Linked DNA regions of Macaca mulatta. The protein of the gene in region 2 interacts with the protein of the main gene of each other region in a biochemical or structural test. Links are inferred from orthologs where the notes say so. Each region holds a gene or a part of one and is shown on either strand. Other genes may lie near its edges.

The links.
Region 1: the proteins of KLKB1 (region 2) and KNG1 form a complex in vitro, tested with the Homo sapiens proteins (4 studies listed by BioGRID). The link is inferred for Macaca mulatta from reciprocal best matches to the Homo sapiens genes KLKB1 and KNG1.

Annotation. Positions count from the first base shown.
Region 1 is NC_133407.1:11,896,732-11,905,544, forward strand, and holds the start of KNG1 (kininogen-1), read right to left. Parts: upstream 5,980-8,813; 5' UTR 5,774-5,979; coding exon 5,539-5,773; intron 3,911-5,538; exon of another isoform or gene 3,874-3,910; coding exon 3,743-3,873; exon of another isoform or gene 3,676-3,742; intron 1,880-3,675; exon of another isoform or gene 1,853-1,879; coding exon 1,768-1,852; intron 1-1,767. UniProt on the Homo sapiens protein: Kininogens are inhibitors of thiol proteases.
Region 2 is NC_133410.1:194,645,608-194,654,361, reverse strand, and holds the start of KLKB1 (plasma kallikrein), read right to left. Parts: upstream 4,549-8,754; 5' UTR 4,421-4,548; intron 3,805-4,420; 5' UTR 3,804-3,804; coding exon 3,746-3,803; intron 1-3,745. UniProt on the Homo sapiens protein: Participates in the surface-dependent activation of blood coagulation. Activates, in a reciprocal reaction, coagulation factor XII/F12 after binding to negatively charged surfaces.

The DNA.
Region 1 (8,813 bases), on a different chromosome or scaffold from region 2:
GAGCCTGGGCTTCTTCACCCACCAAGCTCTCGCTGCTTGCTGTGTAAGCGGCAAACACAGCTAGGAGGGTATGGAGAAAAGGGAACGCTTATGCACTGTTGGTAAGAATGTAAATTAGTACAACCACTATGGAAAATAGTGTGGAGATTTCTCAAGAAATGAAAACACCAAATACCATATATCCAGTAGTCCAGCTACTGGGCATCTACCCAGACGAAAAGAAATCAGTCTATCAAAGGGGTACTTCCACTCCCAGGTTGGTCGCAGCAGTATTCACAATAGCAAAGATATGAAATCAACTTAAGTGTCCATCAAAAGGTTAATGAATAAAGAAAATGTGGGGGACCAGGTGCGGTGGCTCACACCTGTAATCCCAGCAGTATGGGAGGCTAAGGTGGGCAGATCACCTGAGGTCAGAAGTTCGAGACCGGCCTGGCCAACATGGTGAAACCCCATCTCTACTAAAAATACAAAAATTATCTGGGCGTGGTGGCGGGTGCCCATAATCCTAGCTATTCAGGAGGCTGAGGCTGGAGAATTGCTTGAACCCCAGAGGTTGCAGTGAGCCAAGATCGTGCCACTGTACCCCAGCCTGGGTGACAGTGCGAGACTCCATCTCAAAAAGAAAAAAAAAGAAAATGTGGTATATATGCATAATGAAATACTATTTGACCATAAACAAAGAATGAAATCATATCATTTAAAGCCACATGGACAGAACTGGAGGTTGTTCAGTGAAACAACCGAAGCACAGAAAGACAAACTGCATATTGTTCTCACTCATATTTGGAAGGTAAAACACTTAATCACATGGAGATAGAGGAGAGAAGAGAATGACGGATACCAGAGGCTGAGCAGGGCAGGGAAGTAGAAGGGGGAAATGAAGAGCTTGGTAAAATAGGTACTGAATTATAGTTAGATAGAAGAAATACGTTCTAATGTTATATAGCAGACTAGGCTGACTATAGTTAGCAACAATATATTGTATGTTTCAAAGTAGCTAGAAGAGAGGACTTGAAATATCACCAATTCATAGACATGATAAATATTCCAGGTGATGGGTACCCCAAATACTCTGACTTGATCATTACATGTTCAAGGCATGTAAAAAACACTTACATGTACCTCATAAATATGTAAAATATAATGTATCAGTAAAAGAAAAAAAGAAGGAGAAGTTAATACATGTAAGGAGCTTCGAGTCATGGCTGGGACATAAGGACTCAATACATGTTAGCTATTATCTTTATCCTGATTGTTGCTAATATGTTATTATGATTAATATGTTAGTATGTTGATTGTACCTCCAGACATATCATCTCATTTCAGCCTCACGACAGTCCTGTGAGCTGGGAAGTACTGTTACCTCCCTTTTCTAGACAACGAAAAGGACAGCCAAGAAGGTGAGGAGCTCTGAAAGATTCCAGGCCAGGGCTGCCCTCAAAGCCTATGCACTCCTCACTCTGGGATGCTGCCTACAATAGAGGGCAGGCAGGTCTTGTGCCTCCTGGTCCTTCTGCAGAGCCCTTGCACATACTGGGTACAATGCAGCACACGGGAAGAGTTGGGATAGTCCTAAGGGGATGATGGTCACAAGCCTGGCCCACCCTCCGGGCTCTGCCGCTCCACCCAATGCTCCCTAATTGTGCAAATGGCTTTACTACTGCCGCCCTCTGGGAGCAAGCAGAGCCTGGTCAAGGTTGTGTTCCTGGCACACAGAAGCGGTTAATTTCCCACCAGGGCAGTGCCAGAGGATAAACCAGCTACCTGGAGTAATCTGGCAGGTCTGGGTAGCCACAGAGAATTTCATACTCGCCCTCTTCCCCACGGTTGCCGTGCATTCTCCAGTGGCCTAAAAAGAAAAGAAAGATAATTTATCCTAATCTTTCAGATGGGAAAGTCTACCTAGTACTGTTGCTAAATGTGGCTTTCCTTAAAAAAACAAAACAAAACAGAACTTGTGAAGATTTTATCCAAAAGAGTTTTGAGACATGAGAATAAATGTTTTTTTTTATAGCCTAATGATTACATAAGCCTCTGATATTCATAAGATGTTGGAGGAAAGACAGTGTAAAAAGGTTTTAAAGGTTGAGTCTTTGTTTTGAGCCCTGGAGGTATTTCTTTTTTCTTTTTCTTTTCTTTTTTCTTTTTATTTTTTTGAGACAGAGTGTCACTCTTGTTACCCAGACTGGAGTGCAATAGTGCGATCTCGGCTCACTGCAACCTCTGCCTCCCAGATTCAAGCGATTCTTCTGCCTCAGCCTCCCAAGTAGCTGAGATTACATGTGCATGCCACCACGCCCAGCTAATTTTGTATTTTTAGTAGAGACGGGGTTTCACTACGTTGGTCACGCTGGTCTCAAACCCCTGACCTCAAATGATCCAATAACCTCGGCCTCCCAAAGTGTTAGGATTGCAGGCGTGAACCACTGTGCCTGGCTGAGCCCTGGAGCTATTTCTTTCTAACCAAGATGGGTGCAGAGGTCTAGTACCAGCCTGGTAAACACTCCTGTTATCTACTTCTCAACTTTAGTGAGTTAATACTGTTCATATAAACTTCATTTTAGCTTAATAGAAAGGGCAAGGACCTTGGCATCAAAATGTTTTTCAGTTCCAGCCTTGTCACTTGCTAGCTGTTACCTATGTCATGTCCCGTTGACTCTCGGAGTCTCAGTTTACCCATCTTGTAGGAGATAGGACACATCTATCTCTTAGAGTTGTTGTGAACAGTATGTGTGCAAACACACGCTGTGTTTGCCTACTAGAGGCCCACCACAGAGCAGGCACTTAACAATAGGCAGTTGTTTAATTGTTATTGTTGAACACTGTTTTTGTTTTGTTTTGTCTTGTCATTCTTCAGTCATATCCATTGGATTCTAAGTGACAGATATTATTCCATCAGGATAGAGCACACCTCCCTTTATCCACACAGCTCCTAGAAGCAGGCAGCACAGGGCACAGCAGCTACTTATCCCCACCTTGCAGATGAGACGATTGAGAAGGGACAACCAGCACTGCAAACTCCTGGACTCCTGACTTGGAGTTCAGTGCTGTTCGGTAACCGCAGATGACTTGACAGTCATCTTTTACGTTCTGACATAAAAGAAGGGAATCAATCCATGAAAAACAAGGCTTGCTTCCGAGGCAGATACTGTCTGAAGTCTTCCTTAATTAAAGCAAAACAACCGGCTACGGTGTGCCAGGCCTATATGTTAGGCATTTGGTTAAGATAGGCATTGTTATCAAAGTTATTTGCATAATTCATCTAATTTCATCCTCTGACAACCTGATGAGGTCAGTATTATCTCCCATATACAGTGGAGAGTGCCAGTTCTGAGAGGTCACAGCTCACCCGCTATCACACAGCTAATGGAAGGCAGAGTCAAGATTTGCACTCAAGGTTGTGCAATGGAAGCACCCAGGCCCTCCCCTCGCCAGCCCTTCGGCTTGGCCCAAATGTCCATCTGTTGTCTCTCTGGAGTCTGAGCCACATGTTCTGACTGGACACTAGAGCTCCCTTCTCATGGAAAGGCTTTCTCCATGTTTAACTGCTGGCCTCTCCATAATTTTTCTGTCTATACAAGAACACAGATACAAAGCATCTGACTTTTCTACACATTAGAATGTTTATTTGCATTTCTCATAAACAGGCTCACCAGTAGTCATCATTTCTGCAGGAGTAAAAAAATCTGGCAGAGTCAACAGAGAAAACAGAAGGCCCAAGAATGGCCAATACACTTACCGCTTCTGCAGCATCCTTGTAGTCACAGTCCTGCCAGGTTTTGCCACTTTGAACAGGACAATCCCCCTCCTTGATTTCGTACTTGAAGGAATAAAATGTGTCAGAGCGAACCTGAAAAGCAGCCAAAGATACTTAGGGTTCATCCAACTGACCCGATAGCAAATAATTCTAGTGGGTTCCAGTAAAGTTAGGAATATTGATCTTTGACTTGAGAGCAAAGCATTCACTTAAAATATATTTATATTTGTATCATAAACATTTATGTGAAAGAATGTTTATAACATACTCACAATGTCGTTTTAAAGGTTATAAAGCAGTATGCATAGTATTAGCCCATTTTTGTAAAAACTGGTTTATATATAAATCTATGTTTTTTAAAAGTCTGGAAAGATGCACAGCAAGCTGTTAAAATGTTTGTCTGTCAGTGGTGAGATTATAATTATCTTTCACATTCTTCTTCAAGCAAACATTTCTAAGTGACCTTTTTCCCCTGATGAACATATGTGACTTTTACGAATTAGAAAAAGCAAACAAGAAAACCTTAAACAAATGTTAACAGTTATCTCTGTATGGTGGCATTAATTATGGGTGATTTTAGTACTTTTATTTGGTTTGTTTTGTTTCCTACTTTTTCTTTTTTAAACAGCTTTATTGAGATATAATTTACGTGCCATAAAATTTACCCTCTAAAGGTATGCAGTTTAATGTTTTTTGTATATTTACAACCGTACCCACCACAATCTATTGGGTACCACACCACAAATAAACTGTTGCTTGAGATTACCATGAAGCAGAATTTCTCACATGACTGTACTAGATTGTGAAACAAAATGGCTCAATTTTATTTTCAGAAAAAATAACATGTCCACTGTGTTTATTTTCTTTTATCCCCATGTTGTCACATGGTTAGTTTTTTTTTTTTTTCTGCTAAAGTAACCAATTGCTTAGCTGTCCCAGAGAGGTAGTCTTTTATAGTGAAATTTGTTTAAACATACTCTTGAAAGATTGGTATTTCTTTGAACCATGCATCCTGCAAGGATTTATCTCCTACTGGAGTACATCATTACAATAATATCAAAAACAAACATTGCTGTTAAAGCTGGTACATTCAGCCATACAGACTTCTGTCTAATTCCGTAGAATTGCACTAAACTCATTCCTGACTCCTCTTAGACATGACCCATTAAGTATCCCCTCCCATTTAAGGTTTGGAGGTCTATATTTTTTAGCCTAGGGCCAGAGACCCAGTGAATTCTTTTGCTGCAGTCTAACTAAATTCCTAAATTCTCCCACTCTAGTTGGTCCTGTTCAGATTTCTCCATTTACTTTTGTTTCATTTCACCCTACATTCTACTTCTCTGATCAGGAAGCCCATCTGCCTGAGGATGAGTCATACTCTGCCCTCCCACCCCAGGCCAGAGACTGGTATCGGTCTTTCCACAAGTTGTAAACTTCTGCCTTTGATGATCACATCTTTGGTGGTGGTGGTGGTGGGGTGGTGGTGCTGGGTAGTGGTGGTGGTGGGTGGTGCTGGGTAGTGGTGGTGGTGGGTGGTGGTGGTGTGGGGTGGTGGTGGTGGTGGTGGGTGGTGGTGGGTGGTGGTGGTGGTGGTGTAGTGGTGGTGGTGGTGGGGAGTGGTGGGTGGTGGTGATGTTGGGGGGTGGTGGTGATAGGTGGTGGTGGTGGGTGGTGGTGATGGGGGGTGTGGTGGTGATGGTGCGGGGTGGTGGTGGTGGTGGTGGTGGGGTGTGTGTGTGTGTGTGTGTGTGTGAGGCCTGGGCTCCTAGTGACAGTACAAATCCCAAGTGACTTCAAGGTTAAACACAGTTCACTCACCATCTTAGTGGCTTCAGTTATGCGGTACAGTACGAACTGGTTGTTACTTTGGTTTTGACTGTTATATTTCTTCAGAGCAGCATCCACAGCTTTAAATAAATCCTTATCATTGCAGTCAATTTCCTCGGACTGTGATTCCTGGGTTAAACTTAGTAGCAGCCTGGAGCAGAAGAAAAGGATGATAATTAGTTTCATGATCTAACAGTCTCCCTCTAGGAGCTGAGGGATGGTTTCACCAAGAATCAAGAGCCAACTGGGATACTGAATTTGACAATCTCCAGCCTCTCGTTTTCTGTCCTCCTCTCTGCCTCAGCACTCAGGGCACTGGTTGGATTCCTGCTGCCATACGCTAGTTGCCCTGTTCCCAAAGGTTAAATGGCTCTGCTGGGTTATCCAAACATATTTACGGCTAGAACATTGCAACACTGGGGTTGTTAACCTGCTCATTTGCATTTGAAAATCACGAGGGAGCACAGTGCATATTTCCAGGTGATTATACAACTTTATGTAGCAAATCAGAGCAGAATCTGATGAAGGAGGGGAATAAAGTACTTACTAACTCGGTTATTCCCCTGTGACTTTCACAAAGCCATTTTTGAAGGTCACTACATGGGTAAACAATGCAAGAATGAGTACAATGTGCAGACATGTTTCCTGCAGAATCTCTTGGCAGGATACCTACCTGCACAAAAGCAGACTGCTATTAATTCTATTACATGCCTAAGAAGCTCATGCACAGGGGCAGCCAGTGAGTTCCGGGAGTCTCATACAGGATGTTGACACAACTGAAAATAAAACATGGGTGTCCTATCTGGTCTCTGGACAGGCCAGCTTTTTTATGCTCAATTGCATTAGTTCTGTAAAAGAAAATTGCTCCCAGGGTGGAGGCGATAGAGGAGAAGCATAGGAAGAGACGGGTTGGGTGAAGCCCTGGATTCCCTCTGCTTGCTTCTTTCTGGTTTGGTGGTGTTGGTTTGGCGCAGAAAAAGATAGCCCCAAATATGGCTTTTTGGCATGCCGAGTACTTCGAACTGAAGGACATTAAAAAGGCTGCAAAAACAAAGCCTCTTTCTTGCTTTCTCCTGCCTGTCTTTCTCCTGCTCCACTTCTTCCCTCAAGGCAGGCCACGGAAGCTAGAATTTCTCTTCCCCAAGGCGGGTCATAGAACCCTTCTCCCTCAAAATCAGCAATAAAACTTTATTATTCTTATTTTCCTCACATCAACACAGAGTGGGGAAACTATATTACAGAATGGCCCCCATCTGTAGGCCAACATTGGAAAACTACAGTTGATCATCTCAACAGACGTGTGAGGCTTGATGGTATCAACATCCTTACTCCTAAAGGATAAAAACTGGCCGGGTGCGGTGGCTCACGCCTGTAATCCCAGCACTTTGGGAGGCCGAGGCGGGTGGATCACCTGAGATCAGGAGTTCGAGGCCAGCCTGACCAACATGGAGAAAGTCCATCTCCACTAAAAATACAAAATTAGCCGGGCGTAGTGGCACATGCCTGTAATCCCAGCTGCTTGGGAAGCTGAGGCAGGAGAATTGCTGGAACCTGGGAGGTGGAGATTGCAGTGAGCTGAGATGACACCATTGCACTCCAGCCTGGACAAAAAGAGCAAAACTCTGTCCAAAAAAAAAAAAAAAAAAAAAAAATCGGCCTATTCACTCTGCTCCTTGTTTAGACTTTAATTTTTAAAAAAATCTGTAGAGCCATGTTCATGATGACAAACCTACTTTTTCTTTCTTTTTTCCTTTTTCCTTTTTTTTTTTTTTTTGACATAGGACGTAGATGTTTGGACTATTTTTAATCTTTTTTTTCTGATAAAAAAATTCTGTAAAGAAAATCTTTATGCTCACCTATAAAATAGAACAAAGATTTCTTGGAGAGATGTAAAACATGGCTGTGCATCTTATTTTATATACACTTATATAATAAATTTCAGGTTAATTTATTCTTAGATTCTATGCCTAATTTTTTTTTTTTTTGAGACAGAGTCTTGCTCTGTGGCCCAGGCTGGGGTGCAGTGGTGCAATCTCAGCTCATTGGACCTCCCAGGCTCAAGCAATTCTTCTGCCTCAGCCTCCCAAGTAGCTGGGATTACAGGGACTTGCCACCACACCCAGCTAATTTTTGTATTTTTAGTAGAGATGGGGTTTCACCATGTTGGCAGGCTGGTCTTGAACTCCTGACCTCCATTGATCTCCCTGCCTTGGCCTCCCAAAGTGCTGGAATTACAGGTGTGAGCCACTGCACCCGAATGCTGTGCCTAATATTAAAAGCTAGCAACGACTAAGCCTCAGCCTTGGAGTCCTAACTACAGGGAGCATCTTTAAATTCATTCAAGGTTGATTGAACTGGATATGACTTTACTTTTCTGCCAAATCATATTACTCCCTAATTCTTGGAAAAGTTTTCATACTTTTTGTGTGATACTAGCAATTGCACTCTTTTCCCCAGAAGTGTTGTATCTCTCCCCCTGCTTCTTCCTCACACACACCCACACACACACCCCCAGAGCCATAAGAACGAAATACACTATGTGTGTGCAAATACCACTTAGTCTGGTACTGCTCATAACAAAGCGTACTAGAAAACCCACCTGAGGGTTGAAGACTTCACAGTTTATTACATCGTAGGACAAATCTGCTCTGCAGAATCCAAAGACTTTCAAAGAAGAGAGAAGCCTGTGTGTGTGTGTGTGTGTGTGTGCACATGGGGAACTGAAGATGCCCAGCCAGAGTTGTGAGCGTCCAGTCATTCAGCAAAGGAAGAGGAGCTTTAGAAAAATCAGAGTAATATGATCAGATAGCCCCACCAGTGGGTCACCAGTCTCCCCTCATGTACACGCTGATGAAAGCCCAGGTGGTGAAGGGTGTCATTTAAGTTGTTGTGGTTTTCTTCCACGGAGGAAAGTGTTGAACAAAAGGGAACCTGTATAGCATAAAGATGGATTTTCATGGACCCTGCCAAGATAAGTGTCTGCTGGCTCTACCCTGTGTACAAGGGCTACAATTGGCTGGCACGCCTGTGCTCCAGAGGCCCCTAAACCCAGCTGTGAAAGATAAACTGAGACAGGAGGATGGCTGCCTGCTAGACATGAGCAGGCACCAGCACTGGGCTTCCCCATGAGTGGTGGTGAGGAAAACCACATCAGCCCTTCTGCACTGGAGACTTCAGTTGCCTGTGCTTCAACACTATTCTTCACTCTGCCTTTCACAAAATGTAC
Region 2 (8,754 bases):
TAAGGCAACCATTTGAACAATGTAGATTGTTATTTAATTTTCTGGGCACTTCTGCATTAAAACTTTGGCTTATTTTCATTAAATTGCACAAAAATTTGCACATAAATTACCCACAATAAAATAAAATCCTAACTTAGTTTTTCCCTGTTGCCTGACATGCTATGAAAATATCATGCCTTAAAAAGAATAATATTTGCTCTATTTTCAAAACACTTTGGTTACAAACATCTCCACCAGCTTCTCACAATTCTGTAAGGGAAGTTAGAAGCAGGTTTTGTTATCTGCATCTGGATTAGGTTTTTTGAAAGAAAGTTAAATAACTGAATCTCAGGGCATACAGACTTGCCCAAGATCCACACACTTAATGAAAATCCTGCGACAGTCACCCAGCCCTGACTCCCAGTCCTGTGTCCTTTTCTAGCATGCAGTGCTAAATATTGTTCCGCATCTCAGTATGATTCAAGCAAACTGACAATATTTTTTACTCATTTTTAAGATAGTTTAAGCAAATGCATGCATATGCTAAATGGAAAGTAAATTTTGAACTATTTGCTGTTTGGAATTATTCCCAGCTCTAAAATACACTGCACCCCACCTATTATTAGAGAATTAGGTGTCATTACTGCTTTAATTTGTAAATGTGGATTTACCTGGAAAGACTCTCTTCCAAGTCTGCTTAATGAGCTTTCCTGGTCAGCCAGCATATTCATTTCAGTCAGTCAACTGACCATTAACCATGGCTATTCCGATGACAACCTGTCCATTCGCTGGGGCATTAACCATGGCTATTCCGATGACAACCTGTCCATTCGCTGGGGCAGTAGTTACTCTTCAATTTAAATAGTACCTATTTTTTTATTGCCTTTGAGGGAATGGGCAACTTAGACCACGTGCATTTTATTAAGCACTGGAGAGTGCCATCTTCTCTGCACAATCCTACCCCCTGGGAATTCTGGCCCTGAGCCCCAGTCTGACCACCCAACACAGCAAGACTTCTATCCCTCTCAGAGGTGCGGCCAGATGACCACCTCTCGGGTAAGGTTTACATTTGGGAAGAGCACAGATCTCTTCAAATGGAAGCTTTGGGGAATACAAGTGTATTGCCTAGATTTCATGTATGCACAAAGCATGGAGGCATTGGTTTAGTGACAATACAGGTTACAAAGAGGTCTGTTTTGTCAGACAGTTGGTGGTTTTGACTGACTCATAATTATCAAGCAGTCACTCCTCTTCCAGCACCTAGGTTCACACGCAAGGATGCACACAATGGCTGGTGCTGGCCCAGAGCTTCCCATTCTGCCATTGAGCCTCTGTGACCTGCCATGTGACTCAGTCAGGGAAGGGAGTGACTAGAAAAACGCCAACTTTGTTGCTGAATGGAAAGAAACTTCTAGTAGGTGTTCTTGCTTATCCTCCTAAGTTGGTGATCATGCTGATAATGATGATCATGACAATGATAGCCGTGTCTGTACTGTATTTTGGAGCATATGTAAAGTACTGTTATATAGTTTATCTCATAATGATGGTGGCTTTCAAAGCTTTCACATGGGCTCCCATGTCCACGGATTTTGGGCAGGTTATTCAGTCTTGTTTAACAATTACATAAACAATAAGGAGAAGAAAAGTACTCTAATTTTAAAGAATTAGTGGACAAATATGAAAAGATAATTTACAAAAGAAATAGAAGTGATTAGTAAGTACACGAAAATGGGAAGAATCACAAATACAGGCAAGTTAAAACAACTAGAAGCCAGTTTTCCATGAGATTAGTAAAAATGAAAAATTAAATAACCAGTATTTGTATACTGGTTTTGATTGCAAATGATGGAAAACCTAGTACAAAGTGGCTTGAATACAAATGAAATCTATTGGTTCAGGAGCCAAAAAGCCCACGGTGACTCTGGCTTAAGGAGTAACCCCACATTGTGCTCAACGGATAGCATCAGTGGACAATAGTCTCCTTCCGCTTGCTCCAGTCATGATGTTACCATTACTCTCAAGCTCCACATAGTAGCAAAATAGGACCAGCAGCTCAGGCCTCTGTATTCTCTTATGTTTCAAGTTAAATTGGAAAAAAAAAAGTAAGAGTCCTATTTCTAGACGTCTAAACAAACGCTTCATTGCAAGATGTTGGCTCTGATTGGGTCACTGCAGTCAGCAGGATGTGTGCACTTCCTGGTTCAGCAGAAGAGTCAGGGTCACCAGAACCACATGGACCAAAACTGAGAGGCAGTAGCTCTGCAGAAATAAATTAGGATACTGTTTCCAGAAAGATAAACATGTCGGGATGCAAAGCAACAGAAGCCTGTTAGAGTTGGCCTAAGTGGGGTAAATGAGGACTCTTATTAGCTGGTAGAAGAAGTCAACTAGGGAGTAACTTTTCTGAAAGATAATTTCATGATGCCACACCATAAAACCTTCTAAAATATTCATACCTTTGAATCTAGTATTTTTATTTCAAAAAATGTATTCTACAGAAATAACTAAGTGCATAAGAATGTGCACACAAACATACCATAAAAAGAGAATAGCAAGCTCCAAAAAATGTCATTTATTTGCACCAAAAGGTAGCTGTAAGTGGAAAATGCAAGTCAAAGAGTATCCATAGTTAATAACTCTTTTTTGTAAAATGTGCAAATAGGCATATGTAGAAAAATATCTGAAAGACTAAACAAAAGATGTTTAACAACGACTGCTTCTGAATTTGGGGACTACATGCAATATGTAGTTTATAGTTTTTTGCTTATTTACATCCTTAATTTTCCTAGCCATAATCATGATTTATTTTGCCAGAAGAAAAAAACAGAAAATGAGAAACCACCTGGAGGTGGCCGTGGTTCACAGTATCCCTGGCTCATGCTCCTTTTCAGTTTTCAGTGGGTTTGCACATGGGTTGGTAAATCACGGTTTAGAAAAGCAATCAGGGTTGAGGGACAGACACAGGGGAGTTGTGATTTAGGGGGAATCAAAGCCTTTTTTCCTGGAAAAGTAGTCTCTTTATGAATGTAAACCTTCCCTGTAGACGTTTATTGTAGCCATACGAGAGGAAAGTTAAATACTCATTGTTATGTGGCCCTCTTAAGTCACCATAGACTCAGAATCATGCCTTGTGGGGACACAGAGAAAACTCCCTCTATAGCGATTAATGAAATGTCCAGAATCATTTTTATTCTCCAAAAATTAATGATATTAATAGAGAAATGAGATCGAAATCTAGTGTTGAAAGTTATTCACCTAGAACTATCCAAATGCCTGGTTTGCTAAGTTAAATTTAAACCAGGTACTTTCATTTTTGAAATGGTTCCCTGGCTGTCCAGAGTAAAACTATGTATCATGTACCTAACAGATACTTGGATTGGACCCAGACACTATATAATGCCCAGCACTCTTTTGAAATTTCAGATAATGTTTAATTTTTTAATGTTGATAAAAATAGAGGAGTAATTTTTTTGTTTTGAGTTTTGTTTTGCAGAGTGTCATCTGTGAACAGAAGTTTTTATTAACACAAGTCCCAAGACATTCCCGCTTCTGAGCTCCTTCCTCTGGTCTGCAATGTATGTATACAGCAATATATCTCACAAGTCGTACTTGTTCTGGAACATTAAATAGACACGTGTCCTGAATCATCAGGGACTATCTCCATCCCCGAAGCTGTATGTTCAATAGCTTTCTCCAGAGGTGGTGCGACTTGCTTGGCTACTCCTGTCTTAGCCTGAATTTCATGCTTTATAGATAATTCACTTACCACAGGAAACTGTAGCAAACAAGGAAATGAAATAAGTTGCTTGCTTGAATAAAATCATTCTAAAAAAGAAAACAATACATAACTCTGTTGGTTTTAGACTGCATTTAACATAAATCTTAATTTAAGGTGATACAGATTTTCTTGTAAATGTCTGAATTACAAGACAAAGCACACAGTTTCTGGTATAGAAAACAAGGGGTTTTTTTCTCTACATTTGTGTCTAGGGAGTTGGAAAGTTTATAATGCTTCCCAAGATACAAATTGAGACCTTCAGACTACTGCTGTGTTTATTGTTGATTGGCAAACTCTGTGGCTAGTAATGTTGGAAAGGGAATTGGTAGAGAGAGAGATTAAACAGTTATGAAACCTCTTGATTTGAGCAAAAAGAAAATTAATAAATAATGGCAATAATGTCAGTCCAAAAATCCCTAAATAAAGAAAACCTCTGAAAATATTAAAGCCCAATTAAAAATTTTAAATCAATCAAGTATTCTTTTTGATTTAAAGTCATCTTACATTTAAATATTTCTACATAAAGGAATATTAGTTCCTTCTCTACTATCTATATACTCAGGAAATTAGAATATAAATGACTAATTTTCTCATAAAGTAAAAAACTATACTTTAAAAATTATAGTTTCTTTGGAAACAATCAGAATAATAGAAATTTGCTACCTGAAAACACAATTGCTTCTTGGAGGTGAGTCTCTTGTCACTTAAAAATGAACGGTCTTCAAGCTGTTCTAATGTGGCACCGCAGGCAATGTTTTCCTTGGCTTCGATATTGACTTTGGGTTTCTGCCAACAGTTTCAACTTTTTGTCCTGTCAACATATTCCGTGAACATCCTATCCGTGTTCAGCTGTTAAGTATATTAACTATTTCAGGGAGTGATGTCAGCAAGAACCGGAATAGGAGTTTGTCAGAACAGGAGTTTCTAGTGCTCATCCCTTGCAGAAACATCAATTTGAATAAGTATCCATGCACGAAAATAACTTCACTAGAGCTCAGGAATCAGGTGAGAGGTTGTACCACCCAGTTGCAGCACAGAAGTAAGAAAAGACACATTGAAGTGCATAGGAAGGACAATTTCACATTACCAGTGTCACCCACCTTCAAGCCTGGGCAGCACAGCATGGAGAGAGATACCCTCTTGCATGGAAGAGGAACAGTTAAGATAGCACCCACCTTCACCACAGACCCCAAGCACCAAGCCCACTCCAGTAAACCCCGGCACCAGGATTCAGCCCTGCCACAGGCCAGACTGGCCTCTGTGGCCTCAGCCCCATGCTCACCCCAGACCAGGTCAGCCCCTGGGGGTCTAGACTCCAAGGTGGCCACAGAAGACCTAGACTTCAGACCTGCTCCAGCTCTAGCCTGGCCCCCAAGACTCTAGCCTCCACATTAGCCCCAGCAGCCCAAGGCTCCAAGTTGGTACCCATGGGCCTAGAATTCAGGCCATCCCCTGCAGATCCAGCACCAGGTCAGCCTCCAGAGATCTTGGCCATGTGGACCCAGATGCTGGGCTCACCCCAGTGGACCCTGGTCCCAGGACAGCCTGAATAAACTCAGGAACAGGTCTGTCCCCATGAACTCAGGTGCTAGGTGATCCCCATGTTAGGCTGGCCCCTGCAGACTCAGGCTTAAGGCTCATTTCAGTGCCAAGTCAGCCCTCAAGGATCCATGCTTCAAGCCAGTCCTTGTGCACAGAATACAGACAACCACAATGAATGAACCCAGAATCCAGCCCTGCCTACCTTAGAACTCCAACAGAAATCCTGTGCATAGACCCCAACAGACAGCCCACCCATAATCTCTGGTCAATCTGACTAGTGAACGGCTTCCTCTACTGAAGCTAGTATGTAAAGACTGAAATAGGTACCTACTTCAATGCAAGGCCACACTGATCACAAATAATCAGGGAAACAAGAAACCACCAAAGGAAGAAAATAAAGCAGCAGGAGGCGACTCTAAAGAAATGGAGATCTATACTGCATGACAAAGAGTTAAAAATAATTATCTTAAGAAAGCTCAGTGAGCTACAAAACAATATAGATAGACAGTAAACAAAATCAGGAAAATAATACATGAGCAAAATTAGAAGTTCAACAAAAAGATAGATAGGAACCATAAAAAGAACCAAACAGAAATTCTCGAACTGAAGAACACAATGACTGAATTGAAAAAATTCACAAACATCTTCAGCAGCAGACTTGATCAAGCAGGAGAAAGAATCAGCACACTCAGATACAGGTCATTTGAAATTACCCAGTCAGAGTAATAAAAGGAATGATAAAGATTGCAGAAAGCTGACAAAAATTACAGGACACTGTTAAGAAAACTAATATGCATGACAAGAGTTCCAGAAGAAGCAGAGAAAGAGAAAGTTGCAGAAACTTATTTTTAAAAATAAGAACAGAAAACTCTCAAAATTTGGAGACATAAATGAAATAAACATCCAGATTTATGAAGCCCAAAAGAACTCCAATAGATTAAATATAAAGAGATCCTCACCATGACAAAGAGAGAATTTTCAAAGAAGCAAGAGAAAAGCAATTCTTCACATACAAGGGAAGCTTCATAAGATTATCAGTGGATTTCTCAGCAGAAATCATGTAGGCTGAGAGAATGGGATGATATATTCAAAGTACTGAAAGTACAAAACCTGGCAACCAGGAATATAATATCAGGCAAAGCTGTCCTTCAGAAAGGAAGGAGAGAAAAAGAATTTCCCAGATGTATTAGTTCAGTTTCACATTGCTGTAAAGATACTACCTGAGACTGGGCAATTTATAAACAAAAGAGGTTGAACTGACCCACGGTTACCCATGGCTGGGGAGACCTCAGGAAACTTATAATCATGATGGAAGGCAGAGGGGAAGCAGACACCTTCTTCACAAGGTGATAGGAGAGACAGAGTGTGCATGTGCAGGGGAAACAGCTACTTTTAAATCCCTCACTATCATGAGAACACAGCACAGGGGAAACCACCCCAATGATCCTATCACCTCCCACCAGGCCCCTCCTTCAACATGCAGGGATTACAATTCAAGATGAGGTTTGGGTGGGGACATGGAGCCAAACTATATCATTCTTCCCCTGGCCTTTCCCAAATCTCACGTCCTTTTCAGATTTCAAAACCAATGATGTCTTTCCAACAGTCCCCCAAAGTCTTAACTTATTCCACAGTAACCCAAAAGTCCAAGTCCAAAGTCTCATCTGAGACAATGAGCCTTTAAAATAAAAAACAAGTTAATTACTTCCAAAATACAACAGGGGTACAGGAATTGGGTAAATGTTCCCATTCCAAATGGGAGAAATTGGCCAAAATAAAGGGGGCACAGGCCCCATGCATGTGCAAAACCTAGCAGGGAAATCATTAAATTTTAAAGCTCCAAAATAACCTCCTTTAAGCCCCTGTCTCACATCCAGGGCATGCTAATGCAAGAGGTGGGCTGTTAAGGCCTTGGGCAGCTCTGCCCCTGTGGCTCTGCAGGGTACAGCCCCGACGGCTGCCTTCATTGGCTGGCACTGAATGCCTGCAACTTTTCCAGGCACATGGTGAAAGTGGTCAGTAGATCTACCATTCTGGGGTCTGGAAGATGGAGGAACTCTTTTCACAGCCCGCTGGTCAGTGCCCCAGTGGGGACTCTGTGTGTGGGCTCCAACCCCACATTTCACCTCTGCATGGCCCTAATAGAGGTTCTCCATGAGGGCTGTGTCCCTGTAGCAGACTTCTGCCTGGACAGCCAGGTGTTTCCACGCAGCCTGTGAAATCTAGGTGGAGGCTCCCAAAGCTCAACTCTTGTTTTCTGTGCACTTGCAGGCCCAAGAGCACATGGAAGCCACCAAGGCTTGCACCCTTGAAGCAACAGCCTGAGCTATGGAACCTTTTAGCCATAGCTGGAGATGGAAATTTTAGCCATAGCTGGAGTGGCTGAGGCACAGACCACCAAGTCCCAAGGCTGCACACAGCAGTAGGGCCCATGAAACCATTTTTCCCTCCTAGGCCTCTGGGCTTGTAATGGGAGGGGCTGCCTTGAAGACCTCTGAAATGCCCTAGTGACATTTTCCCCATTGTTTGGCAGTTAACATTCAGCTCCTGGTTACTTATGTAAATTTCTGCAGCCAGCTTGAATTTCTCCCCAGAAAATTGGTTTTTCTTTTCTACCACGTGGTCAGGCTGCAAATTTTCCAAACTTTTATGCTTTGCTTCCCTTTTAAACATAAGTACCAATTTAAGACCATCTCTTTGTGAATGCATATGACTGTATGCTTTCAGAAAAAGCCAGGTTATATCTTGAATGCTTTTCTGCTTAGAAATTTCTTCTGACAGATACCCTAAATCATCTCTCTCAAGTTCAAAGTTCCACAGATCTGTAGGGCAGGGGCAAAATGCTGCCAGTCTCTGCTAAAGCATAGCAAGAATGACCTTTGCTCCAGTTCTCAATAGTTCCTCATCTCCATCTGAGACCACCTTAGCCTGGACTTCATTGTCAGTATGATTATCAGCATTTTGGTCAAAACCATTCAACAAGTCTCTAGGAAGTTTCAAACTTTCTCACATCTTCCTATCTTCTTCTGAGCCCTCCAAACTGTTCCAACCTCTGCCTGTTACCCAGTTGCAAAGTTTCCTTCACATTTTCAGGTTATCTTTACAGCAATACCTCACTCTGTCAGTAACAATTCTCTGTATTATTTATCTTCACACTGCTAAAAGATATTACCTGAGACTGGATAATTTATATACAAAAGAGGTCTAATTGACTAACAGTTCCTCATGGCCAGGGAGGCCTCAGGAAACTTACAATTATGGTGAAAGGTGAAGGGGAAGCAGGTACCTTCTTCACAAGGCAGCAGGAGAGAGAGAGAGCATGTGCACAGGGGTAACTGCCACTTTTAAACCATCAGATCTCATGAGAACACTCTCACTATCATGAGAACATAATGGGGGAAAACTCCTCATGATCCAATCATCTCCCAACAGCTCCCTCCTTTGACACCTGGGGA